4 linked regions of the Schizosaccharomyces pombe genome follow. The protein of the gene in region 4 interacts with the protein of the main gene of each other region in a pairwise test. Each region holds a gene or a part of one and is shown on either strand. Other genes may lie near its edges. The genes, in order: tea3, dal81, ntu1 and rcl1.

What was found.
Region 1: the proteins of rcl1 (region 4) and tea3 interact in a two-hybrid assay, tested with the Schizosaccharomyces pombe proteins (one large-scale study listed by BioGRID).
Region 2: the proteins of rcl1 (region 4) and dal81 interact in a two-hybrid assay, tested with the Schizosaccharomyces pombe proteins (one large-scale study listed by BioGRID).
Region 3: the proteins of rcl1 (region 4) and ntu1 interact in a two-hybrid assay, tested with the Schizosaccharomyces pombe proteins (one large-scale study listed by BioGRID).

The regions. Positions count from the first base shown.
Region 1 is NC_003424.3:3,212,602-3,221,019, forward strand, and holds tea3 (cell end marker Tea3), read right to left. Parts: upstream 5,673-8,418; 5' UTR 5,467-5,672; coding exon 2,089-5,466; 3' UTR 1,912-2,088; downstream 1-1,911. Other genes in the region: DNA-binding transcription factor Thi1, read left to right, coding at 1-1,705; cardiolipin-specific phospholipase Cld1, read right to left, coding at 6,351-7,637. UniProt on the Schizosaccharomyces pombe protein: Acts as a cell end marker required for efficient new end take-off (NETO), whereby growth is activated at the cell end to generate bipolarity in extending cells. Also required for proper placement of the septum.
Region 2 is NC_003424.3:1,745,108-1,752,710, forward strand, and holds dal81 (transcription factor), read right to left. Parts: upstream 4,059-7,603; 5' UTR 3,938-4,058; coding exon 1,811-3,937; 3' UTR 1,361-1,810; downstream 1-1,360. Other genes in the region: ank1 (ankyrin repeat-containing protein), read right to left, coding at 128-412, 466-490; pex6 (peroxin-6), read left to right, coding at 4,986-6,341, 6,396-7,603.
Region 3 is NC_003423.3:4,241,745-4,250,454, reverse strand, and holds ntu1 (regulatory protein ntu1), read right to left. Parts: upstream 6,711-8,710; 5' UTR 6,456-6,710; coding exon 6,366-6,455; exon of another isoform or gene 6,298-6,365; intron 6,096-6,297; coding exon 6,065-6,095; intron 5,958-6,064; coding exon 3,595-5,957; 3' UTR 3,029-3,594; downstream 1-3,028. Other genes in the region: C-14 sterol reductase Erg24, read right to left, coding at 1-388; SPOM_SPBC16G5.17 (transcription factor), read right to left, coding at 955-2,637; DNA-binding forkhead transcription factor Fkh2, read left to right, coding at 7,793-8,304, 8,597-8,710.
Region 4 is NC_003424.3:333,338-339,716, reverse strand, and holds rcl1 (rRNA processing protein), read right to left. Parts: upstream 3,396-6,379; 5' UTR 3,290-3,395; coding exon 2,198-3,289; 3' UTR 1,560-2,197; downstream 1-1,559. Other genes in the region: SAGA complex/transcription factor TFIID complex subunit Taf9, read right to left, coding at 834-1,325; cpn1 (caprin), read right to left, coding at 3,772-4,887, 4,935-5,057; mrpl6 (mitochondrial 54S ribosomal protein uL6m), read left to right, coding at 5,381-6,022; nce101 (non-classical export protein 1), read right to left, coding at 6,276-6,379. UniProt on the Schizosaccharomyces pombe protein: Does not have cyclase activity. Plays a role in 40S-ribosomal-subunit biogenesis in the early pre-rRNA processing steps at sites A0, A1 and A2 that are required for proper maturation of the 18S RNA. Rcl1 activates bms1 by promoting GDP/GTP exchange.

The sequences.
Region 1 (8,418 bases), 2.9 Mb from region 4:
AATTTCTGAAGACGATTTGTATTCCAAGCGTTTATCACCTTCCGTCTCATATTCCGAATTTGATGAACAATTACTTTTACATGCAAGAAGCTTGATCCCTTCCAAAGCTGTGGTTGAATTTTTAATCAATTCTTTTTTTATCAACGTCCAAACCAATTTGTTTGTTTATCATCCCCATTTTTTCAAATGTAGATTAGAGATTTTTTTAGCGATGGAAAACCAAATTGATGCTGGATTTTTGTGCATTCTACTTATGGTTCTTGCTTTTGGCAATCAGTATACGGCAGAACAACAGGAAGATGTCAGCAAGTCGAATTTTCATGCCTCCAACATTGGTAACAGATTATTTTCAGCTGCGCTGAGCATTTTTCCACTCGTCCTTTTACAATCAGACGTTAGTGCAGTTCAATCTTCCCTACTTATTGGTCTGTATCTTCAATCTACCATTTATGAAAAATCTAGTTTTGCATATTTTGGTTTGGCGATCAAATTTGCGGTTGCCCTAGGACTTCACAAAAACTCTGATGATCCTTCTCTTACCCAAAATTCCAAGGAATTGAGAAACCGATTGTTGTGGTCAGTTTTCTGTATTGACCGTTTTGTAAGCATGACTACTGGAAGACGCCCTAGCATACCTTTGGAATGCATTTCTATACCTTACCCTGTTATATTGCCCGATTTAGAAATACCGGGTTCTCAGTCTATCGTCGAAAACATGCGTGCCGTTATTAACTTGGCTAAGTTAACAAATGAGATTTGCGATTCGCTGTACTGGAACCCTTCTCCAAGCTTTGAATCGCAAGTTAATTCTGTCCGTAGGATTTATGCTCGTCTAGAGCTTTGGAAAAGTGATTTACATTCTTCTGTGGTTTTTGATGAATCGGCTGTTCAGCATCCACTCTTCCGGTCAAATGCACATGTTCAAATGATATATGATAATGCGATTATGCTTACTACGAGAGTTATTATGGTAAAGAAATTAAAAGATAAAGATTTAACTGCTGAAAATCGTCGCTACATCCAGCTATGTGTTGAAAGCGCAACAAGGGTCATAAACATAGCACATCTTTTATTAACACATAAGTGTTTGTCCAGCTTATCGTTTTTCGGGCTGCATGTTCCATTTGCAAGCGCACCTATTTTACTCTTGTCTCTTCATTACGAAAACTCTCAGGATATTCAAGCTGTAGTCACAAAATTATGGCAGGTATTGGAATTTCTGAGTTCAAGGTGTGAATTTGCTAGAGAAAGTCTAAACTACCTTAAGTCATTTAACAAACAGTTATCTAGGCGCAATGCCCCAGACATTAATAATCCGATTGCAGATTTCCAAAATAGTTTTCAAAATTGGCAATCCTGGGTGGGAGATATGTCACATGGAGACATGCTTTCTACCTTTAAGCTTACAGGAGAAAGCTCAAATGGTAGTAATAGTACTCCAAACGAAGCATTCCAACCTTTTGACCAAACATCATCTCTCTATAATGTTCCGGGTCTAAACAAAAGTTATGTTAGTAACCAACCCAGTTTGCTCACACCTGAAACTTTTCTACCGGATCCAGTTCTCAATTTGGAAGTTGATAAACAATGGACGGCTCCTACGTTTTTGAGTTGGACGGAACTGCTAGGCCCTACTAATGTCTCTGAGCAGTCTTCGCATACTGCAGAGCAAACTTCAAATTTGACCCTTGAAAAAAATGGATGAATCTTTAATGGTTTTTTGCAGGTCTTTGTTTGTTTTAATTATTTCTACGTAATTCATCATATGCTTTGTTCGCGTGGTTAAGGAATTAGCATTTAATACCAGTTTAGTAATTTGCACTTGAGAGTATCCTCATCAATCTAATACTTTAAATTTTCTCTTACTTTTTAAAAGTTAATTAAATTTCATTACTTTTTAAAATATAAATGAGTCAATGTAAATGCAGTAGAAATAATTGCGTATTTTATTGTTAAATATAGTGGTAATTTACATACGTAGTCAAACGACTTGAGATTAAGTAGAAAAAATCAAACCACTTCAAAAAATTATTAAGAAAATTGTACAAACCAAAAAAGAGATAAAAAATCCTTAGTTGATGAATAGAGTTACATAAATGAATGACTAAGCTGCTGAAATGACTCATCTGAGCAATTGGCATATGTTATGGCTTTTTGATAATCATCCTCCAGTTGCTTAATACGACTGGCATAGTAATTATCATCAATTGCACGCATTTCTTCACCTGAAAATGAGCCCGCGGTATCATTTAGTTTTGAGCGAACATCATAATAATCTTTAGATACCTGAGGGGACAAAGACAAAAATTTTTGCTGACTGTTGATAACATCAGAAAGTCTTTTATGTAAATCATTGTTATCCGGGGCTTTTGTTTCTTCAGATGTCATCAAATTACCAAAATGATTACGATATTTTGTAAACACACCACCAGAAGGTATGTCAGATTCTTTTGAACTATGTGCAGCACTAGCATTATTGAATGAATCCTCTTCGTTAAAGTATGATCTTAAGGGAGAGGAGGAAGCTGAAAAGTCCGTAGGAAGATGAACGTCAGTAGAGTCCTTTCCTGATAACTGTTGATTCATTTTTGAATCAGCCAATGCAATTTGTACCTCAGAGAGCTTACGCTGAGTAATTTTTGCTTGCTCGGTAAGATCATTGACCTGATCAGAAAGTTTACTTTTCTCTGTCATTACAGAGGAATATGAATGCTTTAGATCATAGAGCTTTTGCTGAGAATTTAGTAGCTCTTTAGTGCGACCCTCACAAAGTCTCTGGGACTCACGTAACAACTCGTGAAGCCCTTCTAGCTGAGACTCCAAGTAGGAGATCTTTTGTTTCGACTTCGAAAACTCTTTAAGATTATCTTTATTTTCGTTAATAGAAGATAATAACTTTGATAATCCGCTTTGCATTATAGCTTTCGAGTATTTAGCATCAGACACTGATTGTTCTAAGGCTGACTCCAACTCTAGCGCACGAGATTGCAAATTTTCCAACTCAATCCGAACATTCTCATATTCGTACTGTAAATTTAAGCACTTCTGTTGCAACGTACTTTTCTCATCCCTTTCTCTACGGAGCGAATCTTCAAAAGACAATATGGCAGTATTGGACACATCAAGAGCACTAGCGGATGCTTCAATCACATTTGTCTGCATCTCCACTCGATCATGCATCTCAATTAGCTTCGTTTCCAGCTCATAATTTCCATACTCCAAAGCCTCGCAACGAGAACGATAATCGACTAACTCTTCTGAAATTTGCAATATCTGTGATTGTAGGTTTTCATTTTCTTTTTGTAAAGATAGTATTTTTGATGAATCTTCTTCAAACACACTACGAAGTTTATCATAATCTACACAAAGTTTCTCATTTCGAGATTTTAAGAGTTCAGAAGCGGATTCATTTTGCTTCAATAACTGTTGAAGTTCAGTATTTTTTTGATAATAAGAGGTTGCCTCTTCAAGAGTCCCTTGAACTTCGTACTCTAACTTTCCAACTTTTTCTATTAAAGATCCAACAGTTTCGTCCGTTGTCTTTTTCTGGATCAGTGAACGTGAATAATTTGCATTTTCCACGGCAGCATCTCTCTGAGCAGCCAATTTTGCGTTTTCAGATGCTAGGCTAACGATTTGCTTTTTAAACTTTTGTTCATTAGATTCAAGCATTTGCTCAATCACCTTCAGTATTTCCAAATAACTGAGCTGCTCTTTTTTCTCAAGCCTCAATTTTTCATCAACGTGTTGAAACAGGTTAGGAGGTTTGAGAGTATAGCCTTGTTGCATACAATATAACAGTTGCTCCTCAAGCCAAGCTACACGATCATCAGAATTAGAAAACTTAAAATCTGATTGGAGTTTAAGCAGAGAATTACTTTCACTTTCGTTGATTGGAGATGAAGATTCGGAAGACCTAGAAATAGTATCGTTTCCATTAGGTAAAGGAAGAGACGCAATAGGTTTCTCAATTTCGTAAGCAAAGGGGTCAGCTTGCCCAAACTCGTGAAGAGAGAAATCTGCTGAATGATTCATTCCAGAGGTTTTACTAAGGTTTCTCAAAGAATGTAATCCTTGTTCATCCAAGCTAGCATAGTGCCGATGCCTAGCTGATCTTACGGCTTTTTGATTTTGCTCCAAAAAATTGTTAAATTGACTAGACGAGGTGGATGTCACAGAATTCTTTTTGGAATGATTAGGACGGTCGTTTAGGTAACCAAGAGAAACCGTGTGGTTTGAAGCATTTGAAGGTTTCATGCTAATATGCTGAAGAACAGGAATATCAGAAAATTTATCCTTATCCCAATACAAATTTTTGGGATCTGCTTCATAACATAACAGTTGCTTAGGAGCGTCAAGTGCATTAAGATATAATAGTAAAATATGATTGTTTTTTGAAACAATTTTGTATGAAGATGAATCAGAAAGCAAAATAGGGATCGGATTTGAGACTAAGGACCACCGCTGTTGACTATAATTAAAAGCCCAAAGCTCGTTGAGTATCAACCCTTTATTATCACGACCACCATAAATGTAAACCGTGTCATCTATTGTAGTAGCTTGATGACCTTCCCGCGGACCTGGAAATCTTCCTATAGAACGAACCTCGGTCCATGAAAGTGTTTCTAAATCAAAAAGCCAAAGATCACTTAATGGACCAGTATCATTATGCCCTCCATGTACAAATATTTTTCCTTGGACAAGAGTAACTGAGTGATTTGAACGAGGTGGAGGGGATGAGCTATGCAAAAACGGTGTTTCCCATGACCAATCAGTCTCATCAAATTCCATATTAGCCTTTTCAACATTATTTGCATTTGCCTTTTGCTTGAGTTCTGATTGCGTCCTCCGATCAACCCCTTTGGTATCAAACAAATGTATATCATTCAAATATTTTCCTTGACATTCACCCCCAAATATCCATAATTTAGAGTCAACTAACAACATAGAATGTCCAGTGCGAGGCGATGGTAAGGGGGACTGTGTTGAAACCAAATTCCATTGATTACTCTTGAAATTGTATGCGTACAATGAATTATCGCCAACTTCAAATGTGGAATCTGTTTCTGAGTCGCATCCTCCGAAAAGATAAATAGTGTCAGCAGAACAAACGATAGAATGACCAACTCGAGCAGGAGAATCATTGTCTTCCCCTCTATTGTGAGAATAAACCGTGCATGAATCCAGGTCCAACTTAAACAAAGAGTTTGAAATACCAGATTTTTCTCGTCCTCCATGTAAGTACATGAATTTTTCATTCGCAGCATCTAGACAAGAAGCCGGTTTTACAGCTTCCCATTTAAAACTTTGGTTCGTAGATGTCCTTTTATCATTTTCTTTGACTTTGCGAACAACCCATGCACGTATATTTTGCTGATCAATGCTACCGGATTCCACTACATCAAGCTGTTCAGCAGACACATCCTGAGAGTTATCCGATTGACGGCTTAAAACCTTTTGAACCATGTATTGCGATCTTTACCTTGCAAAATCGCTTACTGGTTTTGCAGTTGCAGATGGTAATCAAAGCGAAAGTTTAATCCAAGGAGTTTTTTAAAAGGTTCGGTTTTTACGCTTAAAAAAGAAATAAAATAGAAAAAATATATATTTTAGTTTTAAAAAAGAATTAAAAAGTAAAATTTTCGAAATAATATGAAAAGAGCATAACTTGTGGAGGGTAATGGAAACACACAGTCCATCAGGAAACGGCAACTTAGAGTAGAGAAGTCTTAGAACAACGAATACAATTGCAATACCCTACAATAAATTTTTGTAATACTGTATGATGTTTATAATTTATATCTTCATTAAACATAAAGAAGGGAGAGTAGATACAAGTTTAAGCGCAATAGTATACATTACCGTTGAATGCTCTGTTTGAATTGAAATTTAGAAGTACGAAATATGCTTCACGTTTGAAAAGCTTAGAGCAAGAAAAATGTATTTTTCCAATTACTCTATAGGATAGAATTTAAAATAGACAACCACAAAAACTGTTATTTACTTTATAAGCTAATTGTAGTAAATGGCCTACAAATATTACAAAATTTGATTTATAAGGCACATTTTAAAAATAAAACATTTGAAAACACATGCTGGACAAGTAATCGGACAAAAAAATAAAATTGCGATAAATGAAGCAAATGAGCGTCAATGCAATAAAAATCGATTCAAAATGGACCGATAAAAAGTTAGGTAAAAAAAAGTCGTTCAATTGGAATCCAAAGAATAATGTGTAGTATAAATTAATGAATGAGGTCTATAACAGCATCACATGGGATAGTTTGCAGGACAAGAAAGAATAAATAAAAATAATGAAGCACTAAGCGAAGGGCATAAAAAATAAAAATTTACTCTGAAATCGAAGAAAAAGAACGTAAACTCATTCGTATCTCCTTTAGTACAATCTCATTAAAATCTTCAGGGTTATCAAGATAGCAATGGTGACCAGCATTTGAAATTATGTGGTGCTCCGCCTCAATATTCATCTCCTTCAATCTGTTTGTCGCTTCTAAACCAGCAACATCATCCATCCAATCTTTATCTCCATACATGAATATAGTTCGACACTTCAACATGCGCAAGCGATTCATAATACATCGTCTAGCGAAAGCTCCGGGAGCGAGCAAATTGCCAAGTGCATACTCGCTGGAACCCTTGAGACGAAATATTGAGTAGCAGTAATTATGTAATGCCCTAAACGTTTCCGGGGGAAGCGTTGAAAACCTTCTGCTAGACCAAAAACTCATTAGTTTAGGACCTAAAGGCCCGCTTAAACGAAGTAGAGAAAATGGTGTAACATTTTGCTCCCATAAGAAGGTGATAAATCTTGGAAGAGGATTCTTTGGCTTGCTTGGCCGGGAAGGCTCTAAACCTGTAGTTTCCTCTTGGGTTTGCAGAACCTCATTAGTAACATTACTTAAAGGAGGTTCATCCATAACAGCATGCACAGCAGAGGAAGCAACGGAATTGTAAACTTCCGCATCATCGTTGCTTGCAAAAGGGTTTTCAGGAATGGCAACTGGACTAACTAGTAAGAGTTTCTCAACACGTTCCGGATATTGCATGGCGTAGACAGCAGACAAATAACCTCCCATACTATGGCCCACAAGGATCATTTTCTCGATACCATGACCGATTCTCCATGTTTCTAATGACTCAGTGAAAAACCTCTCTGTTTCTTCGACCTTCTCTGAAGCGGTTTGCCCCTTGATATCGAAAGGCGGTCTTGACGAGTTTCCCATGCCTAGCCAATCAACAAAATAAGAATTAAAATCCTTTGTCACACCCTTAGTCAAACCATCCATGTTCCGAAAGTAAAAACCAAGACCAGCTCCATACCCATGCATGTAAACAATGCTTCGCTTGTTCGCTTTTCCTGTTGCTTTATCACTAACACAAACCTCATGTACCAATCCATCATTATCGTAGATTTTGGAATCTACAACTTCAACTAACCTTTCTGGGTCCTTTTCATTTTCCCGAATAAAATCGACAGTGTGCAGGACTTCACGCTCACATTGTTTCGCATATTCTTCAGAGCATGCTTGACGCCATTGCCTCCAGGACATGCCAAACGTTTGCGTATAAGAATTAGCTGCTTCCTCACTTCTCACCGCGACTTTCACTTGGCTCATAGTAACGGTGCAAACGCTGAATTCAACACAAAATGGTCAATGAAGGAGTCAACCCCGCGATAATGACAATACAAACAAATTACTGTTTATGAACTATTTAAAACAAAATAATTCCGATATTTAAATAAAATTCCGGATATTGGCTCGGCAATTGGAATTCAAAGTGTTGTGCTGTGGGTAAGTTTATGTAAGCAAGATACGAAGGTTTTGATCTGACAAAGCAATGGCATTGTAACAAGCAGCGGAAAAGCAGCACATTCTCTGACTTTTTTTCGTTAATCTTCGTAACATTTTGGCTGAATTAAAAAAAGGCGAACAAATGATGAAGCAAGTTTTCATGAAAATTTCATAGAAAGACAATTGAGGTTTTAGTTCAATACTTAATACAGCAATTGTTCAAATATGATAAAGTCCCTTTATGCAATAAATACTTCAGTGCAGCAGAATATTAAAATTTGTTTCCGGCATTGTTATTGACAACACTATTGACATTGGTCATTGTTATGAACATCTAATAATTATTATTTTTAATTCATATAAATATAATAAGTAACGTATCAAGTATAGCACCATTCATCTAATTACTTAGCAAATTACATAAAATAATACATTCCTATGCACAAAGTTAACATTTATTTTTCATTAAATTTCCTAGATTTCTATCCAGCAACTTAATAGCTTGGAAATGACATGCCAGAAATCGTAATTGTCGAAGGAATAAAAAGGATAGCTAAGAAAAATCCCTATAAAGGATAATCATCTTTTCGGAATTCTATGACAT
Region 2 (7,603 bases), 1.4 Mb from region 4:
ATCTTGCATACGTTGAATCATTCGTAAAACAACGTAGAAATACACAACTCGACTTTGACCATAACTTCCGAAAATAACAAAGAACACGAAAGCAATGATTAGCACTTCGGCTTGTAAATTCACTTACCCATACGTAAAGCAGTTTCCTGATCTTTTTTTATAAACATAACGGCAAAGTGTAAAGGTGTGTCCCCTGTCATACGACAGCGGTTATTCAAATTTACGCCAGATATATCTAAAAGCCAGTCAAGGCACTCTAGGGAACCATATTTTGTACAGACATGAACACAATCGTTTCCAAGTGAATCACGAGCATTATTGATGAAGCTCACTCCGTCTCCTTCCTGTTGGTGAACAACTTCCTCAAGCATGTCAACATTATTCGAGCGGCAAGCCGCAATTAACATTTCCGCTAAAAAATCGTTAGCAACTTGATACAGCCAATAAATCAAGCAGCGCTCTTACATGGCTTAGCTCCTTCAGTTGACATTCTCGTGACTATAGTGTATTATGTATTTGGTAAGTATGTTAGTTCTTCGGTCCGCTGAATGGATCTCTATATATAAGTGGGGGGCGTGGGGGACGGAAATGTTCGTCAGTTACGAATAAACAAAGCATATACTAAGAAACTGTTTAATCATTACTTCTCCAAATGGTATTGCAATTGATGAATTTAACAGTGGGTTTTCAAAATTTTGAGAACCTATGTTAACCTTTGCTTTGAGTTTATCAATGATTGCAATATGACCTAAATAAAGCAATGAATTAATAAAATTAGTACTTTAAGCACTTAAATTTATTTCTTTTATAACGAAAAACTGTCCTATAGTGACCAAACATTTAGTTCTCATATCCCGGATTATAACCGTTTGTATAACATATCTACGCATTCGACACAGCCAAAAGGCTTCTTCCTCTGAAAGAAAAATAAACAACATAAGTAAAATATATGCACAAAGCAATTGAACAGATGATCTTGGTACAAGTCAACTCTAATAATTTATACGGAATATTTGATAAGAAACTATAGAGTATGAAAAGATGAAAAAAACTGGTAAATAATTGTAATGAAGTAAAAATATGTAAGAATAAGCGTTTTCTGATGATCATTTTAAGAATATGGATTATTGTTATATACCTGTATTGCTTAGACTTCTAGTATCCACATCAAGAGTTTTCATATTTGTTCTTAAAAAATGGAATTCAAGCCTACTATTACTTTCATTCATCTTTTTAATAAACTTGTACGGATCTAATTATCATCATTATTTGAATCTACTCCGGCTAATTTAAGATACAAGATATTTAATTTTTCATATATTATATATATTCTATTAGACACCACTTCTCAACTAACTCCTGATGGTGTAGTTGGTTATCACACCCGGCTGTAATTTCGATGATACCGGTTGGTCGCTAGTTCGATTCTGGCTCAGGAGATCTTTTTTGCTTCCACCTGGTAAACTTTAAAATATAAATAAATATATGTTCAGATCTGATAAACCTTATTGTTGCAATCAATATCTCATTATAAAACGATAGGATGTTATCACTTCAATATTATCTTTCCATCCTTCGTGAATATTCCTAACTCACTTAAACTTTTCTATCAGATGTTTTTAATGAAGCCCTTTAATCAAATTAACAAGGATCCTAAACTACTTTATAAAATATAAGCAACTAGAGCTGACTAAAAAAATAATAATGTGTAGATATCCTTAATTAGGTAGGTATAGGCTCATAAGTATTCAATTAACAACTCTTAAAACCAAACAAAAAAAAAAGAATTAGAAAGGTCTAAACACTATCATTATGTCAGGGTTTCGTCCAAGTTACGCTTTCGATGTTCAAAGGTTTCTTGTAGAAGTTTGCCAATAAGTGGTCTACCTGAGCTTAATTCAATCAGCAACGCGTTTAATCGCTTATAAGCCATGAAAACCAAATCAAAATTTCGAAACTTCAGCCAGACACAATGCTTTGTGAAAGATGACAAAAGGCCAAAAGTCGTAGCATTAAAATTTTCATTAAACTCAAAGTCCAGATACATCTTAATGATTGCAGATGATAGGATACAAAAATAGAATTGGGAATACGGCCAGAAAAAATCAGTAAAATGGGATTCGTTAATGGCTAGAAAATGAGAAACACAACGTTGCACCACGTTCAACATTTCTTGCTGATATACTGCATCTGTCAGTTTAAGTTTCAATGCTGTTTTCCGTAATAACAACTCCAAGGCATCGATTTGTAAAAACAATGATAAAGATCCAGGTTGGTTCTCTCTTAAATTACAGCTACATGAAAATTCTTCCAGACTAATCAGATATTTTGATATCTTTTGAGCCACAGTACGCCGATTTTTCGACATTGTCATAACCGCTCGAGCGTTGAAAAGATGTTGTAATACATTTTGAAGCAAAATACTTAGTTCCGCCATTTTAACAAATACATTGAATGAGTCGGCAATCCTTTGCTCCCCAGCCAATAGCTGGTTGTCCGTTAATGGTGGTACTAAGTAGTCATCTTGACGAATGCTTGCATTGATCCCAATATACATCGAAAGCCATTTTTCGTTAACAAAAAGGGCCCACCACACTCGATTACGCAAGATTTTTTCTTCCTTTGGAATCTGCCATTCAGAGCAATCCAAATGGAACCCGAGAATTTGCGCTAAAGCAATCGCTCTAGTCAAAATGCTCCAGTTTCCAGCTACGTTAATCCATGGTCTTCCCGTTAAAAAAATAATCGCCGCTTGTAGCGTACTTAATCGAGAGAGAGAAAAGGAAAGATCCAAGAAATCCTCAGTAAGATCCCATAATTTTTTTGCATCCAAGCGAGGATAATTTCTTAACTCTTTATCCGCATCCCAATAAATAATTGAGGAAGCATACATCGCAGTTAAAAGGATAGGGGACAGTTTGTGTTTTGCCTTTTTGAAGGCGAGGAGAAATCTTTCGCCATGAATAACAGGGTATACGCGATGAATGTACCGGAAGTAAAGGCCAATCAATCGTTCGCCGACTTCTGGGGATACTGTGGCTTCAACCACTTGAAATATTTGCTGAAGTTTTTCATAACGAGCAATTTGTTTGTGCGGCTCATAAGCTGGATCAACCATGTACATAACTGGAGTTTTTGGGTTTGCAGAAACATAACGAATGTGCATATTACTAAATGTATAGGTTCCCTCTTTAGGTATAAAGTACTGCCTTATCAAATCGACGTCAGAATCAGATGTTGGGTTCAAAATATAAGCATATGACAAAGAATCGTCAAAACCAAGAAAATCCGTTTGGTCATCAACTGATGAACCTTGACTAATTAGAGAATCATTCTCATCCAACACAGTTGAGCTGTTTAGACTTGAGGGAGGTGGGGCAGCTTCGGAAACTCTCTCAACCTTGGTAGATGAGTATTTCTTTAAAAACTCCTCATATGAAAGGTCGGATAACTTTGCATGCTCCTGTCCAGGTTCGGATTTTGGAAAAGTGGTTTCTTTAACAATGGGTTGTGGTTGTGTGAAAGACTTTTTAAATCTAAAATTTTCCTCATTCTGAGTTATAGAGGGAAACTGCTGCATGGATTGTGCTGAGCTACCAGCCAATGCGGAAGGCATTGATTCATGTCGAATTGTCCAGTGACTACTTTCCTGACTATGTGAAGGAATTAAAGGATTGTTATTAGTACCAATAGGCAAAGTACCATCAGACTTTACATCTTGCGAGGCAACCGAAGGCTTTTTCGATTCAAGGCTAGAAGAACGAGAGTGCGGTGGCAAGTTAGGATAAGGACTTGAACAAAACAAAGAAACAGGATCCATAAAGCTTGAGGAAGAAAACTCATGGAAATGGATCAAGCAAGTTCCCAAGCTGCAGGGAATACATAGATTCGGTTGAGCCTGAGACTCTGGCTGCGAAGGAGATGAACTTTGGTCCATTTACGAATCAATACATAAAATCGTAGTTACACGACCCAAGTAAAAGGATGACAGTATCACCTCATTAGGGAGCACACCAAAACGGGATGTGTTACAAGAACAAGGCGATTTTGAAGTGAGATGGGCGGTAGCGAAGCATGGATGGTGTTTATCGTCTAGCTTTAACTTTAAGTACATTAAGGTTAGCGAGATTAACCGTCCATATGTTTATGAATGGTCTTATTATTAAAGCACCATCGCTTTTTTTAAGACTATTTACGTTGGGTTCAAAATCTTTATTGTAAAAATATTGATGGGCATTAAATAATTTGCAATTATGATTGAATAAGAACATAAATATACAATGAAACAGAGTACAACGAATGAATTTGCTGATATAAATTAGACTTTTATGATCGGATGCAGAATAGCTTGTATTCAATTGATTTTTTATTTGAAGCAAATAGAAGGAAAAGTTCTCGCAATTTATTTCAAAAAAAAAATAGTATTATTTGACCAAAATGGGTCCTTGCGTTTACGAACTCTGATGTAGTCACCAACTATCAAAATTACCATTTAACAATTCTTTTTGCTTTTAAGAGTGTTGGCTTGACGAATGGATTAATTTCAATTTACTCATAATATTTTGCTTTTAGGCGTTAGAGAATTATTTTAACTCAGTAAATGACACTTAGTATATCTCACGGAATACTTTCTTTTGCTTATATCTTTCAGGATTTTGTTTTTTTTAGTTTTACTTGAATAAATGTTAAATTTTTGATACGAAACTTCAATGTTAAGTTTAACTTTCAATAACGATCATTTTGCACAACTTCATCTTCTGTACTCAGACATCAAGGTTGTCAGATTCCTGCAACCAACAAAATATAATTTCGTTGTAAATATTTGTGCATCTAATTGATACAAATATAAATACTCTTTTTTCATAAATAGTTATATGTTTGTGCATATTTTTTGGGATCGATTTTAAAAATCGTCGCATTTCCTGCCTTCAACTGTATCAACGTTTTATTTTAAATATTCATACTGCAGGACGGAAAACTACTTTATGGAAAATCGCATTTGCACACTTGCAAAGCCGTTGCCAAAGTTAGATGAAAGCAAGCAAGCATGGGTTTCATATTTATGGCTCAAGAAAGCGTTGCCAGGTTTCGAGGAACACTCTGCTTATGTTTACATGACCACTAATCCTACAATCGCTGGTCGCATATTTTTACCAATTAATAATGAAGATCTGGAGGATGGTACTGTTGAAATTTCTGGTTATGATAACTTACTGGCTGATGCCTTGTACATATCGACAATTGCACCTGTCAAACTGGATTTTGTGCAGTTGATTGTTATAGATGACAATTCACAAGATCAGGATGCAATAATTGAAAGGATTAAAGGGAGAAATGCTATTTTAATGGAAAGCGATTTTATTAACCAAAATATTTTGGTACAAGTTTGTCAACCTGTTCGACATGGAGTTGTGGATTCAGAAACGAAATTTGTTATTGAAAGAAAAGATAGTTTTACTTTTTTAGCATCCAATGAAAAAAATATTTCATCATTTAAACGAGGAAAAACCGAAACAGATGCTGAGTTGGTCATTCGTCCATCAAAAGTACATACTGAAATACAATGGTGCTTACAAAACTGCTCTTTAATTCATGTTCCTTTTGAATTATTATTCAATGTTGGTAAAAAAAATGGTTGCCCAATAAGCCTTCGCTTGTCAGATGGAAAAAATGTCTATGGAATTGCTTCGATAAAATCTGATACTGAACATGATAGTGTACAGCTTTCGCCTTCTCTTCATTATTTTGATGAATTCAACGAATCTGTTATATCCGAGGAAGGTACAGAGGCATTTCTTGTCGCTCGTGGGCCATCTGTCGGGATCGCTTCAAGAATCTCACTTCGTACTATTCCAACTCAATCCTGCTTTTCTGAAAAGCTTCTAAAAGCCGCTAACCTTTGTGTTGTACAACAAGTTAAACAAAAAGTTTTCTTACAAAGCAAACAAATATTTTGTGTACCTATAAATTCGTTAATGGCTAATTCAGATTCAGTTGATATATTAGAGCTTACAAGGAATACCGACGCTTATATATGGTACTCTGTTGAAGAAATAGATCCTTTAAATACTTATAACATTTACTATACCAATGAGGATACCTCAATCGTGCTTGACACTCAACTTTCCCACAGACTTCTTCCCAGCCTTAGGAAACCTCTTCTAAATTTTGTTAAAGTACATCCTCCTTCCCAAAAACTATTAAGATTCTGCAGAGCTTTTTTTGATCCTCAACAAGTTCCTGGGTTTAATCCTTTTTTTCTGCTTCATGGAAACCCATTTACGGGAAAAACAAAGGCAGTAGAAGAAGTTGCTTCTCTTTTTAGTGCACCTGTTTTTACGGTAAGTTTCAATTAATCCCAACTCTTTTTTGATTCCATTCTAACTGTTTTCTAGATTTCTTCTTACGAATTTGCTGACGCAACTGCAGATCATTTAGAAGCTAAGCTTGACATGTTTGTGCAAAATGTTGTTAAGTCTCCCTGTGCTATCATTTTTGTAAAGGACTTAGATGTACTCTCTATATCTTCGGATGAAGGGAACATAGTACCTGGTTCAAAGAGTATTCAAATATTATTGTCGAAAATTGATCTGGTTAAATCTCCTCAAGGTAGATATATTGTTATCGGAACATGCCATTCAATTGAAAAAATACCGTATGAAATTCTTTCAGAATCATTTTTTGAGTTAAAATTTTCTGAACTTGAGATGGATGAACGTTTGGAACTTTTAAAAATTTATGCAAATAATGTTATAATTGACAAAAGAATATCTTTGAAAGACGTGGCTCTAAAAACTAATTCAATGTCTTTTGGCGAGCTTGAATGTTTACCAGATCATATGACTAAAGCTGCCGTAGACAGAATAAAGAGAACTGGTTACGATAATGATTCTATTATTTTATCGGGGCCAATAATTACAGAGCAAGACGTGGACGTTTCAATTAATCGCATCCGTAAAGAAAAATCGAATACCATTTTTACTGTCCCTAAGGTTAATTGGGATGACATCGGTGGATTAGAGGAAGCAAAAACTGTTTTGAGGGATACCCTGCAATTACCACTTCAATTCCCAGAGCTGTTTTCTCAAGGATTGAAACCTCGTTCAGGCGTACTTCTTTATGGGCCACCAGGTACTGGAAAGACCCTTTTGGCTAAGGCTGTTGCAACTGAATTATCATTAGAATTTGTTAGCATCAAAGGTCCAGAATTGCTAAATATGTATGTCGGTGAGTCAGAAGCCAATGTTCGAAATGTATTCGAGAAGGCAAGAAACTCTTCACCCTGTGTTATTTTTTTTGATGAACTTGATTCCATTGCTCCTCACAGAGGTAACTCTAGTGACAGCGGAAACGTTATGGATCGTGTAGTGAGTCAGCTGTTGGCCGAGCTTGATAGTATTTCAAAAGATAATAATAAGTATGTATTTGTTATAGGGGCCACCAACAGACCTGATCTTTTAGACCCATCTCTTCTTAGACCAGGTCGATTCGACAAATTAGTGTACCTTGGAATTAACAAATCTGAAGAGTCAAAAGCAAGTATGTTACGAGCCTTGACTAAAACTTTCAAGCTGGATGAAACAATCGACCTTAACGAAATTGC
Region 3 (8,710 bases), on a different chromosome or scaffold from region 4:
CCATGCAGCTAGCTCCCAACAGGTATATTGAGGTACAAACGACACCAAGTATTAGGCAAGCTGAGTTAAAACCATTTATTTTATAAAGTAATCTTGTCCCTTTGTCGTCTATAGGTGTACCCTTTGCCCATTTTCCATTCGTGCATTTCCATAACAAAGTGAGAGTACTAAACCAAAGCAAGTACAAAATTAAAGACTTTTGGTCAAATAGAGGAGTTTTTTTAAATATATGAGAGATTTTAGAGAATTTAGCCGGGCATCCTTCCTCATTACAGATATAAAATGAACCAAAAGATACGACGGTCGTTAAAACAGTAACACCTAAAGCGCCAATGGGCCCAAAAAATTCATATTCGAATTTCTCCTTTTTTACCGCACCTTTAGCCATTTTCAAAAAGTTCTATGAAATGGCAGTAGCAACTAGGAGTTTCGAAGATGTTATGGAGTATCTTTATTTAAATGCCATGTCGCATGATATACATAATATGTGTTACCTTAATGATCTTATTCCAACGTAGGCCTTTTTGCTCCTCCAAACAACAGAAAAATCATAAAAATGATGATTTTCATAAGCTTCGGCTCGTTTAATGCTTATTTAATTAATAAATCAGCGGTCCGTCAGGGATGTGTTCTTACCATACGTTCGCAAGCCAGCAATACAAATTAGTAAAACAATTGTAGATCTTTAGAATACCAATATACAAAATTAGTTACTTATCTGATTTTATTGAAAAATTTATATTATTAACATTTATATAGTAATAGTATATTCTACAACTGAAAGAAATTGGAGTAATGCATATATATATATATATATTTGATGTAATTTCCTACAAATTAATAATTTGTAAAATGGCAGATCATCGAAATCAAATAAACGTAGCCGCAAGGCATTGATCCTTTAGAGAAAAACAAGCATAGCTGTACATCCACACTATTAGAAGATTATATAATTTATAAGTTTGGTAATGGAAAATTAAAATTAAAATCAAATATGTCGGTAAAAACCTGAAAAAGGTTTTGGTCGTCCAAATCTCCATGGTCTTCTGAGAGCTCTGGTTCTACCGAATTGATTGTCGTGTATATATTCAGAACGTAATGAATCCTTTCCCATACAATTCCCGGATATTTCTTTTCCTCAAGGGTAGCCTGTACTGATGCAGTTACATTCCAAAAATCCTTTGGGACATCGTAACCCCTTTCGGAACAAACATGTATTATAAGAAACGTATGTGTAACTAAAATTAACATTGCTTTCAGCCAACCGTATTTTTCGAAACAATCCATTGAATTGCTAATTAATCGTGACAACTGTATCGATGTTTGGCCAAGCTTTTGAACAATATCTGGATAATTGGGTACTAAAGTACGGCTCACAGTAATAAAACCTTGATAAAGATTTTTACGTACTGTCCAAAATACGGTTTTGAGAAATAAATAGCGAAAATGAATATCTGATCCATCGATATTAGAAAACTTCGACTCTATTTCCATTAAAACCAGCGATAGTTGACTTTCATAAAACTGAATAGAGTTAACGAATTCGTTTACAGTCGAAGTATGAATAGCTTTATATATTTCCAAACCACAAGTTAACAATTGCCCGAGTAGTGAGTGAAACTCATAACTAATAACATCTGAACCCATTTTTCGCTGAGAGAGAAGTTTGCCGTAAATATCGTGCTGAACCCAAGGCTGGCAAGATCGTAAAACACATTCCAAAGCATCTATCTCACAAATCGAAAGCCAAACCTCCATATTTGCTTCATACTCGGTATCAGTATTTTGAAAGATTGGATTAACAAAACATGCGTAATGAATTGCATAACATAGATCAGTGTTCATACTTCGAAACTGGTTTCGCATGCAAAGTTGCGCCCTTATAGCATGCAGTCGAATTCTGTCAATATTTCTCCATAGTCGAAATATTACCTCCTCATTTAAAAAGTCATCAATTTTTGAATTTAATGCATCCGATAGTTCAATGGCGCTATGATTAACAGCCGAAAAGTATCTTTCAATATTTGAAGGAAAGGATTCTAACGAAAGTGCTACCGCAATTGCTGTAACTATTAAAATAATAGAAGTCGCGAAAACATGGTTAGAATTTTTCAGATCAGATAACAATTTATCAGCTTGCTCAAAATCTAAAATATAATTTGTTACATTAAAAGTATTAGCATAAACTTTTAAAAGGCTTTCGCATACATCCCAAGGAGGGATAGTTTCTAAAATACATTCTAATCGTTTTTTCAATTTAGGATCCGTTTCTAAAGCTTCTCTTAAACGTGATTCTGGATCTCTCTGAACAATACCTTGAAATTCAGCCGAAGATTTCAAAATTGTTTTCCAGTCTACGAATCCAAACTTCTGGGTTTTAGGGAGGTTGTTTTCTTCCAAACGCGTCCGAGTCTCTTGATGAGCAGAACTATCTGTTTCTCTAGTAATTGGTCGGCTTAAAGGTTCTTCAAGAAGTTGGACTGCTTGCTCGTTTACTCCATATGTACATGATTCTTCACTCTCTTTACATCGAGAACAAGGATATTGGCGGTCACATTTGACTTTTCGGCGCCTGCATCTCAGACAAGATCTAGCTCGAATATTTTTGTGGGCCCTATTTTTAGATTTCCCAACCATAATTTACCTAATTACGGTATTTCTTCTGTAGTAGAAAGTTGGATATTTCTATAAAATACAATTCACCATAAAAAATTATACGCACAAACTAAAGGTTTCATTCAGTATTAACCTGATAACCATCGAACTTTTAAGCTGGGATTATGCTTCAATTGAATCGATGAGACTACTAATATTTTACTGCAAACATTTTTATGAATGCAAAGGCGGTGTCAACGTTGTGTGGTGGTAAATATTGAGTGTGCAGGCTTAATTATTTAAATTCTTCAACGTCTAAAATACAGTGTAAGCATCAGATCTCGATACCATTTTTTTCGCAGAGCTTTTATTTAGAAGATTTTTATAGGGATCATTTTTTTAGCCTAGATGCCAAAGGTACTCAACAATACGTTCCACAGTTGGGTTTGCAGTTGCTTACAAAATAAACAGCTAATTGTCATTTTAGTAATTATACATTCCATCGTGAAAGAAAATGCACACTATTAAAGTTTTTAGTTCATCAATTGCTTTGCAGTAATCCATTATAATGTAGAACTTCAACGTAACTTTACTCCAAAATTTTTAGCTTTTAACACTACTTGGTTATTCATTGCTGATAATAATGCGCGTAAATATCACTAGCTAATGGACATGAAGCAGTAGGCTAACTCTCTAAGCTTGATCAAAAGATCAAAAAGCAAATCTATCACAAACATCTAGGAAGACAGATAATCTAGATATTCAATCGTTCTATTATTCAATAAACATAAAAAGCTAATCATCAACCAAACAAAATATCACTTAATTAAAAGGAACAAAAAATAAGTTTTTTAAAAATGTCAATGTTTTTTCTCATGAGCAAACCCTAAAAGTTGGAGCTAGAACCCTTATTAAAGATAAAAAGTGAAGCAAGAATTATTGCAGAAAAAAAAATTTTGAAAACAAAAGTGAGTTTCTATGCTTAACAACATTGATCGCTCACTCGGTTCTTTTAGAGTTTGAGGAACTTGGATGGTCAGGAGAATTATTAGAACCATCTCGGACAGTAGGATAAGCAACTTGGTTAGTCATGGAAGGTGGTTGAATGAAGGGATACGGCATGCCAGATTTTGCAGCTCCAGGTGCCATCATAACCCCTGAAGTAGGCAGTGGTAGCATTTGTTCTGACAAGGGAAAAGGCGGGTGCTGGTAAGGATACTGTGAATATGCTTGGAAAGCCTGAGGCATATTCGAAGTTGGACTCATGTATGGAGGGTATGAAGTATTATACGGGAAAGGTACTGGAGAATAGGTGTTCGGAACATAAAAACCATTCGCTGTTGGCATTGAAGAACCATAATTAATCATAACCCTATCATGAGGGTATACATTACCATCAGAATAGGAAGGATATCCGTTTTGTCTAGGATAAGATTGATCCTGTGTACGCCCACCATACGTAGGCATAGGGAAATTTGTTGGTGCATTTTGAAACTGGGCAGGATTATAGTAACCTGGGTAAGGAGCATCTGAATAAAATATTTGTGCTTGCGGAAACTCTCTAGGTATATTACTAGTTCTCTGCGAAAAGTTGTTTGGTAGTTGTCCTGTAACATCCGGGGTCGCATCCAAATTTTCAGTACCAGATGAGTTCATATCATACGCAATTAGCAAGTTCTTGATTGCCTCCATTATTGTACTATAGTAAGTGGATTCGCGGTATATCATTTGTAGACAATGAAATCCTAATCTTGCCTTAGTTATGAAATTATTAGATTTATTGGCATCGTCCTTCGTCAAAGTAGCACAATATGTCAAGGTCATTAACGCGTAGTATCCAGAATACAAATTGAAAAACAGTTTGGGAGTATTTGGAGATTTGGCCAATTCCTGTAACAAAAAAACAACACGCTCCGCAGATTGTGCACACTTTAAAGCAAAATTTGCAGGTTTCATTGGCGACCCATTCTGATTATCAATTGGTGTACTAATACTGTGAATAAAAGGGCGATAGAAAATGAGTTCTATTTGCCTGAATTTCAATTCCAGTATTATTGCTTGGATCCATTTGGGTGAAAATTTTGGAACTTCGCTCATTTTTAAATAAGAAGGTAAGTTTTTCCACCAATATGTAAGTTTTTCTTCATGATCACGAACAGCTGGTAATGAAACTTTACAGTGTGAGTCAGAGGGCGATTTGACTGGATACACTTTCCTTACAAAATGACTTAAAATACGAGAAAGCGTTATGTGTTGTATAAAAACTTCCAAGCTAGTGCATTCTGATGCTATTAATCGTGGAGGAACCTGGTCATTTTCTAATGTGAAATCAAAAGAATTGGGTAACGATTGATCAATATCAACGTCCTCAATACTGAGAGGAAGACCAACAATTGTACTGGTGTAACAAGCCAAAACGTACACAGAATAAAATACCCGTTTGGATAACCGAGATTCATGAGATGTGAGAACGTCTGAAAAATCCTTGTGCAATCCCAATTCGTGGCAACACAATAACGCATTATTCGTGAACGTATAAGCTTGAGAAAGTCGGGAACTGAACAAAGCAAAAAGCGCAACAGACAATAAAATTTGCACAACTTCAATCGTATAACTATCTTCCCATGAAAATGAAGACCGAATGTAATAGTAATACTCGTAAGCTTCATGATAAGGATAGTTAGCACTAGGAGATTCATCGGGCATATAGGTGTAACCCAAGCACAATGTAGCGACAAGTAAAAAATGAAAATTGTTATCAGTCTTGCCAGTTTTGTAATACATATGCATCTTCTCAAAGAAAGATGCAGGATGATGAATATGTACCAAAAAATGGTCATTCATAAAAAATTGGCTAACAATAGAAAGAGCCTCCTCATATGGAGGTAGCTGAATTTTGAGAGGCGGTTTTTTATGTTCATCTTCGGCAGGGGTGGGTGGAAGATACGGAAAAGATAAAGGATCTGGCTGAGAAGAAGATGAATTAGATTCTTGGACAGGATTGGGAACCGTAGAATTCCTCGCAATGTTTTGATGTATATTTTTCATAAAGACAAAGCCAGAGGAACTTCCACGAAAGTCGGCTTTCCCATCATCTTTTAAACTCAATTGTCCATACCGGTCGAATAAGCTTTCAAACTCGTCCTGTGACGAGCTTCTTTTAGAGGAATCAGAGCGTTTCCAAGGAGATTGGTTCACAGGAGAATCTTTGTCATTTGGAGGAGCCAGAAATGATGGCAACTTTAAATTTGGATCGCTTTCTTCAGCCAGTCCCCTCAGATATTTCAATCGAAGCTCCAAAAATTCTATATACTTCTCAGGAGCATGCCGTAATCGCTTAAAAGGTTGACCATAAGTACATTCTTCAACAAAGTTAGAAAACTCCATCCAATTATAATAGAGGCTTGAAATAAATTTTAAAGCGACTAAACTTGAAGAAAATAATCTCATCTAAATTGTAGGCACTTACCATAGTTATATGCTATGCAATTCGAGCAAGGCTGAAAAAGTTAGTAAAGAACAGAAATTTATATTTATTTCTAATCGCTCATCCAAATTAATGCAAATAAGATAGAAAAAGAGCAATAAAAGCCAAAAAAATAATAAATTAACGACAAAGGTTATCCGCATGCTCTCTAGCTGAACTGAAATCAATCAAGCTACAATCAACTTCAGAGAAAGCGGTAACTGGGTGAAGTGAGTTCTCAGTTCCCAACTCAAATAATAAAATTATGCAAAACATAAATAGAGCAAAGAAATTGACATCTTACCCTTCTCTGATCACATTTGATCTTTCTCCTGTGACATTCATCACATGCTCTAGAAACACGCTGTCTACGAGATACATCGCCGGAAGACATTCAGCAGCCTATCAATAAACTATGTTGAAGCCTGCTAACTTCAAACTTGAGGGAGAACAGGTCTTTTAATTTGTATTTATCGAATCGTTGTTACCGGTTTTTACAACCGAAAGTTAACGCAAGTGAGCAAAAATGCAGTTTATCATTCAAAATTTAACGCTTTGAAACTAAAGGAATTTGGTGCTTTAGATAGGTAAATAAATAAATAAATGGTGATCGCTGCGAAGCGATTATGGATGATATACGCGACAGGTTAAACCTACGAGAGTGTGTGCCAGCGATCGTATACATCCGCTAAATAGTAATTACTCGTTACTTCACGTTAGCATACATGTGTAGGTGAAGCAATGAGATTATACCATGCTAAATGTTTTTGTTGCGGTATGTTAAATATCGTTATAAGCCTGACATCTTCACGTGTGAGTTCTCCAATGAGTCCTGAAGCTGGAACCATCAAGCCGTTTATTGACTATTTTCAATATTACTGAAGAAAAAAGTATGGGAAATAAAGATCATTCAAGATCAAGTTTGTCTGTTCATGTAAGCCACATATTATTTATTATAATATCAAAGTCTCTCCGTGCCTGAGTTATGTTCGGTAACTGTATATTGCATAATACTTTCTGTTGTGTACCACACATTATAGTGCGCTACGAACTCACCAAATAATATTACGTATCCTACAGAGACTTCGCGAATCGCGTAGTTAGTAAAAATATGGAAAATAACGTGAGTAAACAGTTGAGCGTTAATATTGCAGCCACACAAAATCGGTTGATTGAAAGCGAAATAATGATTCGGAATTTCCATAAAACACAATTAATACTCTTAGTGTATTCATGTAATAGCTTGTACAGTTCTCAAAATAAATCTTCAGTAGACACGTTTTAAATAATAGGGTAATTACTAGGATATGCACGCGACCGTTAGACGCCATTACATGTGCAAAAAACACTGAGTGCTGAAAAGCTAAAATTATTACAAGTCTTGCAGAGTTATGATTGTTTGAGTTTTTTTTTTTTATAAGTTAATCCTACGCCAATATATTAAGAGGATTTTTTTAACTGCTTAGTATTTAAAAAAGTATATCGAAGATCCGGTATCTTGATTGTTTACAAAAATATAAATAGCAACGATAACAAAGACGCATTGTTGACAAAAATAAAAAATGTACAAATATTTAGAAAAATGTATATTTTAATTTCTATGTATCTAAAATGATGGTCAATATTAGTTATACCGTGAAGCGCTGGCAACGGAAGGTAAACGAATGTTGACAACAACAAACGAGTGTAAATAAACACACACCAACAGCACAATTGCTGTAGAAAGGAAAAATGACTGTTCGCAGACTCGAAAGCAAGTCTGAGCATATATCAGATGACGAGGAGAGAAAAGAACAGTTAGATTACAAAAAGCAAATGGATGTAGACACAGATCGTAACATTGTATTGAATGGTCGCCTGGAATCCCAAATTGCGAAGTTGTCCGTTCCACCTCACGAAATGAGAGTGGTCGATGATTATTCGAACAGTAAAAATGCGGAAAGACACTCTGGAGAAATACAAGCTTATGCGAAATTCGCTGGAAGTACATGGACTTATTATGTTAAGAAAATTCGAATTATACTTGGTCGCGAACCAGCAAATCCTTCACCAAAGGGGAAAAATGAAGATTTAGAAGTAATTGATATGAATTTTGGTCCTTCTAAAGTTGTGAGTCGAAAACACGCTGTTGTGGAATATGATTTGGATGACCAAACATGGAATTGCTCAGTTTACGGTCGAAATGGCATTAAAGTAGATGGCAAGTTATTCAAGAATGGGGAAACAGTCAAGCTTACAAGTGGGTATGTTAAAAATCATTTACTAGAATAGTGTTGGTTCGTCGTGATTTGCGACAGGACGGAATATTGATGGTTTCAGCAGCGCATAATTTATGCTTTACTCTTTCATAAGTTCTATGGTTTTCTCGTGTTATTTGTCAATTTTAAACGAATGTTTGGTTATTTTATAAATGCGCGTTAAGGATTTGTCAAATTATCAAGAAAATAATTATTTCCGTCCTAGTTCAAATAAATGCAGGAAATTATGCCAATTATTTTTTTTTATTTCTTTTTCGTCTTACTAATTATCTACTAGATCTATACTCGAAGTAGCGGGTTTACAAATGATGTTCGTACTACCCAATGCAGCTGAGCAAAAGCAAACTGACGAAAGCACTATAAAGGAGGATGCTATAAAGTCTGAAATTTC
Region 4 (6,379 bases):
ATCAAGTTTCTTTATATTTCCTATACAGGTTTGTGGTGAGCTTTGAAATGGTTGAAGTATGTGAGAGATAAATGATTTTGAAAATGATGAAAATAACGCGGATGAAATATATGTCCGAGAGCGCAAAAAATGTGTGGATATTTCCGTTGCCTTCCTTCTGATTCAAAATTATTATATAACTTATATATTTTTAGCTGTCGTGCGAGTATCCCTACTATATTCTTTTTAGGGGATCTGTATAGGTCATATAAAGAAAATTAAAATGCATGATATTATGTTATCACTAGTATTGTGGTAAATTGTATTTTCAAAGTTATGATGAGAGGCAATTGTAAGTAATAAAGAAACATTGGTGCGGTGTAAATTTTAAATGAGCCTAGTAGTTGAAGAAAGCTCTCGACGAGCTCATGCCAATTTCACAGCCTTACATGAATTACTCCAGTTTTTGTAACATTTTAAGAAAAAGCGCGCCGTCACTGATGTTGTTGCCGTCTCTTTCACTTTTTTCTATTCTATGTCGTACCATATATAAAAGATACAGTGTACAGTAATGTACAATATGAGCTGAATTTAAAAATGTTGTATACTTTTTTGCTCCATACACTGATTTCGTAGCAAATAAACAAATAAACAGGTACCTTATAACTGTAAACGATTTATTACCCACGCCCTGCTTTCGCAAGTTAAATAGGAAGTTCTGGAGGAACAAAATCATATAAATAAAACCATAATCATCTGCTGCAAAGATTCGTGAGCGCTTCAAAAATATTTACATATATCTAAATCATCAGCACTTCCCCGGCATTAGTAACAACTTTAAAAGGAAAATAAATTTATTCAGACTTCACAGAGAAGTCAAGTTTATCCTCCTCCATTCGTGAATCCGAGGAGTTCTCTTCCTTTGGTTGATTCTGTTGGGTTTCATTACTGACAATCCAGTTGGGTTGAGTTAAACAGTACTTCTCCGGTGGAAGACGAAACCCATAAGACGGCTGAATTTGGGGTAAAGGTTTTCGATTTCTCTCCATAGCAAGCTCTAGTAAAAATTCTTTTGGTGGAGGTCCAGTGAAGGAGTGATTGATTTGAGAAGCAACAGCTAAACGTACATCTTCTACAGAAATTGGAGCATTTTGCCCACGTGAATGTTCCGCATAAACCTGTGAATCCTGGATTAACTGCTGTGTATATCTATGTGCAAATGTTAACAACTGCAAAGGCACTGTTTGAGAGTATGATGGAACACCCAGAGAGCTAAGTATTAGATGAATCAGACGAACGTCCTTAGGTCCTTTTATAGATTCATCACTTATTCCTGGAGAACTCATGATTTATTAAATACTATAAGTATATGCGAAGACAAATACGACTCCCGTTATTTTTCTGTTTTACCACCCAAAAAGATTTATGGTCGTTGCGAGCGTTGCAAATTGTATCCACTCAGAAGTTAGCGTGAGTCCACTGCACACCACTAAATAGCTTGTTTCAGAAAGTTTACAACAATGCTATTTTACATATACATTACTAAATATTTCGAGTCATAAAAATTTATCTAAGCAAACTTTAATTTATGCAGAAGGAATGATTTCATTAAAGCAATTCCTATCAAAGTTGCTTTTAGTATCACCAATGTTAATAATTTAGAAGTTACATAAAATTTTAGTATAAGCAGCGTAAAGTAAAAACTCTCATTTAGTAAATAATAAAACGAACAGGATCATTCATACAAAATCAATGATGATACAAATTTACTAAAAATTGGCAGTGTTTTTTTTTTACAAAAGGACATGGAAAAAGGTTGAGATTTTCAAATGAGAAGAGCATCTAAGAACTAATTTTCTGAAAAAGAGGCATCGGGAAAGAAATATTAAAGCAGAATGAAGTAGAAACAGAACCAAGTAATTTAAAGGAAACCAAAAAAATTCAAACCATAATTGAAAATGAACATAACAAGACCGTTAAAACAACTGAGTCACAAAAACGTATTTAAATCTCTAAATATGTATGGTGCTTTTTTTTTATACTCATGTCGTAATTGCAATGGGAAGTTAATGGGTAATGAACTTCTTAGTACGATTAAAGAGTAAATATATATCAAAAAGACGTTCGTTCATTTTAAGTACCCGAACAATATGTTAAATGTAATGTTATGATGTTTAAGAAGAATAAACGAGCAAAGGACCCACTGATAAATGGTTTTCTATTGAATGCGGCGATTGACATTTAAATATCCTTTTCCTAAGCATGACATCTCCACCTGGCCTGATTCGAGCTCTTTAAATCTATATTCGCAATTGAAAAGTGCCTTCACATCCCGAAGAAAAACAACTAATTGCGAAGTAATACCAAGTTGACCCACAACTATTGTGTTAACGTCTTCAGAGGATAGTAGCATCCCGGTTAAAGTTGAAGGTTGTGTATATGGATCTACACAACCACCAGATTCAATAACTTCCAATAATTTCTTTGCGCAAAAGGAACCAACATCTTCTGGTGTTTCTCCAGCTTCACCACAATGCTCGGCAGCATAAGAGCAACCCTTATTAGTTTCTGCAACTAAAGTGATAGAATACCCAGGACTGTTACCACATTCATCTCCACGGCGAACGTCTGTATAAATGAAAACATCGGGTATAAAAGGATTTAAAACTCCGCGAGCAGATTCTACTAAGCGATTTGCAAAAGCGGGAGATACTCTAGTTGAAGAAGCAATTCCTCTGATTCGGAAGACTCTTCCAAATTCTGAGAGACGAATGGGAGGTAAAGACTCTTTAATTACAGGACATAAAAAATTCACTTCACCTCCTCCGCCAGGAGCAGAACCACGCTTTAATATGCGCAACTCAAGTTCATCACCAACTTGAAAACGCTTTTGAAGAGAGGGTAATACACTAGTGCGCAAAACATCGACACCAATATCTTCATTACTGGAAGTAACTCCAGTAAGAGTAAGTGAAGTAGGGGTTTTTGCAAAAAGACAAAGTATTAGAATTGGTTCCAAAAAATAGCCTATCCCTTTGGTAGTTGGACAATCATGGACTACACGACCTCCTATAATATTTCCTGGGCGATATATGAACGAAGTACCTGTGTAAGAAATTTCTATGACACTGCCATTGGTCAACTTCTCCAACAGCCTTAAAAACGAAACCTGGTAATCTTTGACACCAGGATCGGCTTCATCTGGGTAAATTCCTTCAACTCGAATCGGAGTTCCCGAGAGAGTTGCAAGGACTAACCGATGCGTCAAATACTCACATCCTTTAAAGCGTTTGAGCTGACCGGTTGACATCACGAGTTTAACAATTCAAAATGAATGCAAAGCCCCGAATTATTTTAAAAACGCGTTTTTCGAGACTTTGATATTTCAATTCCTTTACAGGAAATTTTTAGTTTTGGTAAAAGAATTTCTACAGCGCAAGAGGTAGAATTGACCTCTCAGCTAGGAGTTGCCGTGGTAACCGTAAAGCTACTTGTTTACTAAATAAATGTAAACAATAAAAAAAGTACTGTATTTTTTAAAAAATTAACTGTTTTTACTACTAAAAGAAAGAAATATACTTTCTTATATAATATTTAACACATTAATAAAATCAAGTAATTTTATTTCTAGAACATAAAAAGCAATAAAACGATGATTGATTTTATGCTTTGAGAGTTTTGGTAATATATAAATACTTTTTTAAAATGCCAGAGAACACTAGAGGAAAGAATGATACAAAAACCTCTGAAACATTAAAAAAGTGAAACGTTAATATATGCGGTAAAAGCGTTTTAGGCTACGGGATTGAAATTGGATAGCTCAGCGTTAGGACTAGGTTGCGAGGTTGAGTTATTACTGTTGGAATACTGACCTCGCTTTGAGCGATTAAAAAATCCTCCACGGCCACGACCTCCGCGATAAAATCCTCGTCCACCTCGACCACGTTGACCACTTCCTTGGGAACGGTTGACAGAAGGGCGTTTTGAAGATCCTCTGGTATTGGAATTTAATTTGGGTGTTCCATCTACGACTCCATTGCTAGGATCAGCTGCTTGATACCATTCTGGTGACATTGAATCCAATTTTTGCTGCATTTGTTTTTGTTCAACAACTTGATTTTGCGTGGGATAAATATTGGTCCCATCTTTGCCCAAAACATCTACTTCAACATTTTCAGTAGGAACCTGAAGAGTAGAATTAGCAGGAACAGATGTTTCACTGGGGAGAGCGGGTTCCTCAACATGCTGTCCTTCAATTTCGCTCTCATTTAAAAACTGAATGCCACGGTTAAGTGGTCGATTAGTTTGACGGGCTTCGTCATCACTAATACTCTGTTGCTCAATGGGTTGACCAACTGCTTGCTCTGGTTGCTCCGCATAATCATCTTCGATAAGTTCCTCAGCCTGTTCACTAGGCAAAGGAGCAGCGAAAAAATTATCAACTCTAGATGAAATCGTCTGAAAGGACACTTCACTTTCAGGTACAACGTCTGTTGACGAGTCGTTCAAATCAGCAACAGCTTTTTCAGATTTCTCGGTACCCTCATACACAATCACCAATAACTTTTCAACAGCTGAATTGAAAGGCGCATCATCTGAAGGATGAACACAATTATGGCTTGCAAATCGTAGAAAACGGACCAAACTTGAGACTTGCTTTTGAGCGGTGTCATATCCTTCGCGGTATTGTGCTTCAATCTCTTCTTTCCTTTTAGCATTTTCGGTCGCCTCAAACTGACGCTTGTGTTTTTCATCACGGATCCTTGTAGCATCTATTTGGCTTAACAACTCCTTCAACTCATTCAATGTCGTCAATACAGCATCTTTACCTTGTAATGCTTTTCGTTGATCATCATTGAGAGAATTGGAATCGCTAGCAGCTATTTCTTCAAGCTTTAGAATTTTTTGCTACAGATTTAGTAAGTTTTAACGCCCAATTTAATAAATGATCTTACCTTCTTTTTCGTAAAGTTACGAATGCGCTTGGTTAAATGCTCCACAATAACGCTTCCGAGTTCTCCCTCTATAGGGTTTTGGGTGATGTTTTCACTATTTTTATTGTTTCCCTGGCTTGGCATGGTTTTTTTCTTTTCTCGCTTTTATCCCACAGGTTGGTTCTTCGCAAGTTTGGTTGACGTGCCACATGGCTGCCACCCTACATGATGAACCTACTAAGTATCCACATCGTCAAACATTGACTTTAAAAATCCGCAAACACTTTTGGCAGTCTTAATCCCTAATAATAGGAACAATTTATTTTAAGCTATCTCACAAAAAAAAAAATCGAATAGAAAGAATACGTGTTTTTATTAGAATTTGATATTAGCGAATTTCGAAGTCAATTTTTCTAGCATCCTTTACTAATATATTTGAAAACTGAATTATTTTGATTTATAAAATTATGTTTTCTATTGATAGTTGCTTGAAAACAAGGCCCTTAACTTTTCGAATTGCTCGTCTTGGTATGAACTTCACGACATGTTCAGCTGCTAGATCATACGTTGGAAAAAAAGAAATCATTGTTCCAAAAAATATCCAGTTTGATTTGGAGGGGGAACAACTACAGATTACTGGACCTCATGGAACACTTAACATGAGATTTCCAAATTATCTCAATCTCTCGAAAACTAATGACATCCTAAAAGTAGGAATGGATGCCAATATAGAAAAGCAAGCTACTAAAAAGCAACGTGCAATGTGGGGCACTACTAGGGCTATCCTAGCTAATAATGTAAAGGGAGTAACTATGTACTGGCAATCTATTATCAAATTGGTTGGTATCGGGTATCGGACTTCTCTAAACGATGGAAATATTCATTTAAAAATAGGTTATGCAAACGACATTTTGGTCTCTATCCCTACTGATGTACAAGTTGAGAATCCAACGCCAACCAGCTTGGTACTTCGTGGAATTGATCGACAAAAAGTCACACAGTTTGCAGCAAAAATTCGATCGTTTAAAAAGCCCGAGCCGTATAAAGGGAAGGGGATTTATGTTGATGGGGAAAAACCGCAGTTAAAAGCTAAACGGAGCATATCATGAGTTCTTTGGATTTCATTATGCAGTACATTCTCATATTTCAATTTTCCATCTGGCATACACCTTGTGCAAATTCACTATACAAACTCATTTCTTACAAACACTTATTAAATCACATTGCAGTAAAAATTGTCACAGACTGTTAGTAGCGTATAAACGTACAAAAGGAAATGTTATTCAATGAATAAAAATATAAAATCATCATTCGCTCGACACCCTTTGCCTCCTAGAACAGTCCTTTACGGAATGTCTGACCTCAGTTTTTCATGGATTGTTGTGAAACTGCCTGTTTATTCCATTTACGCAATGCAAGTTCTCGTAAGCTTCTTCCTCGGGGACGATGCTCTTTTTCATACAAAT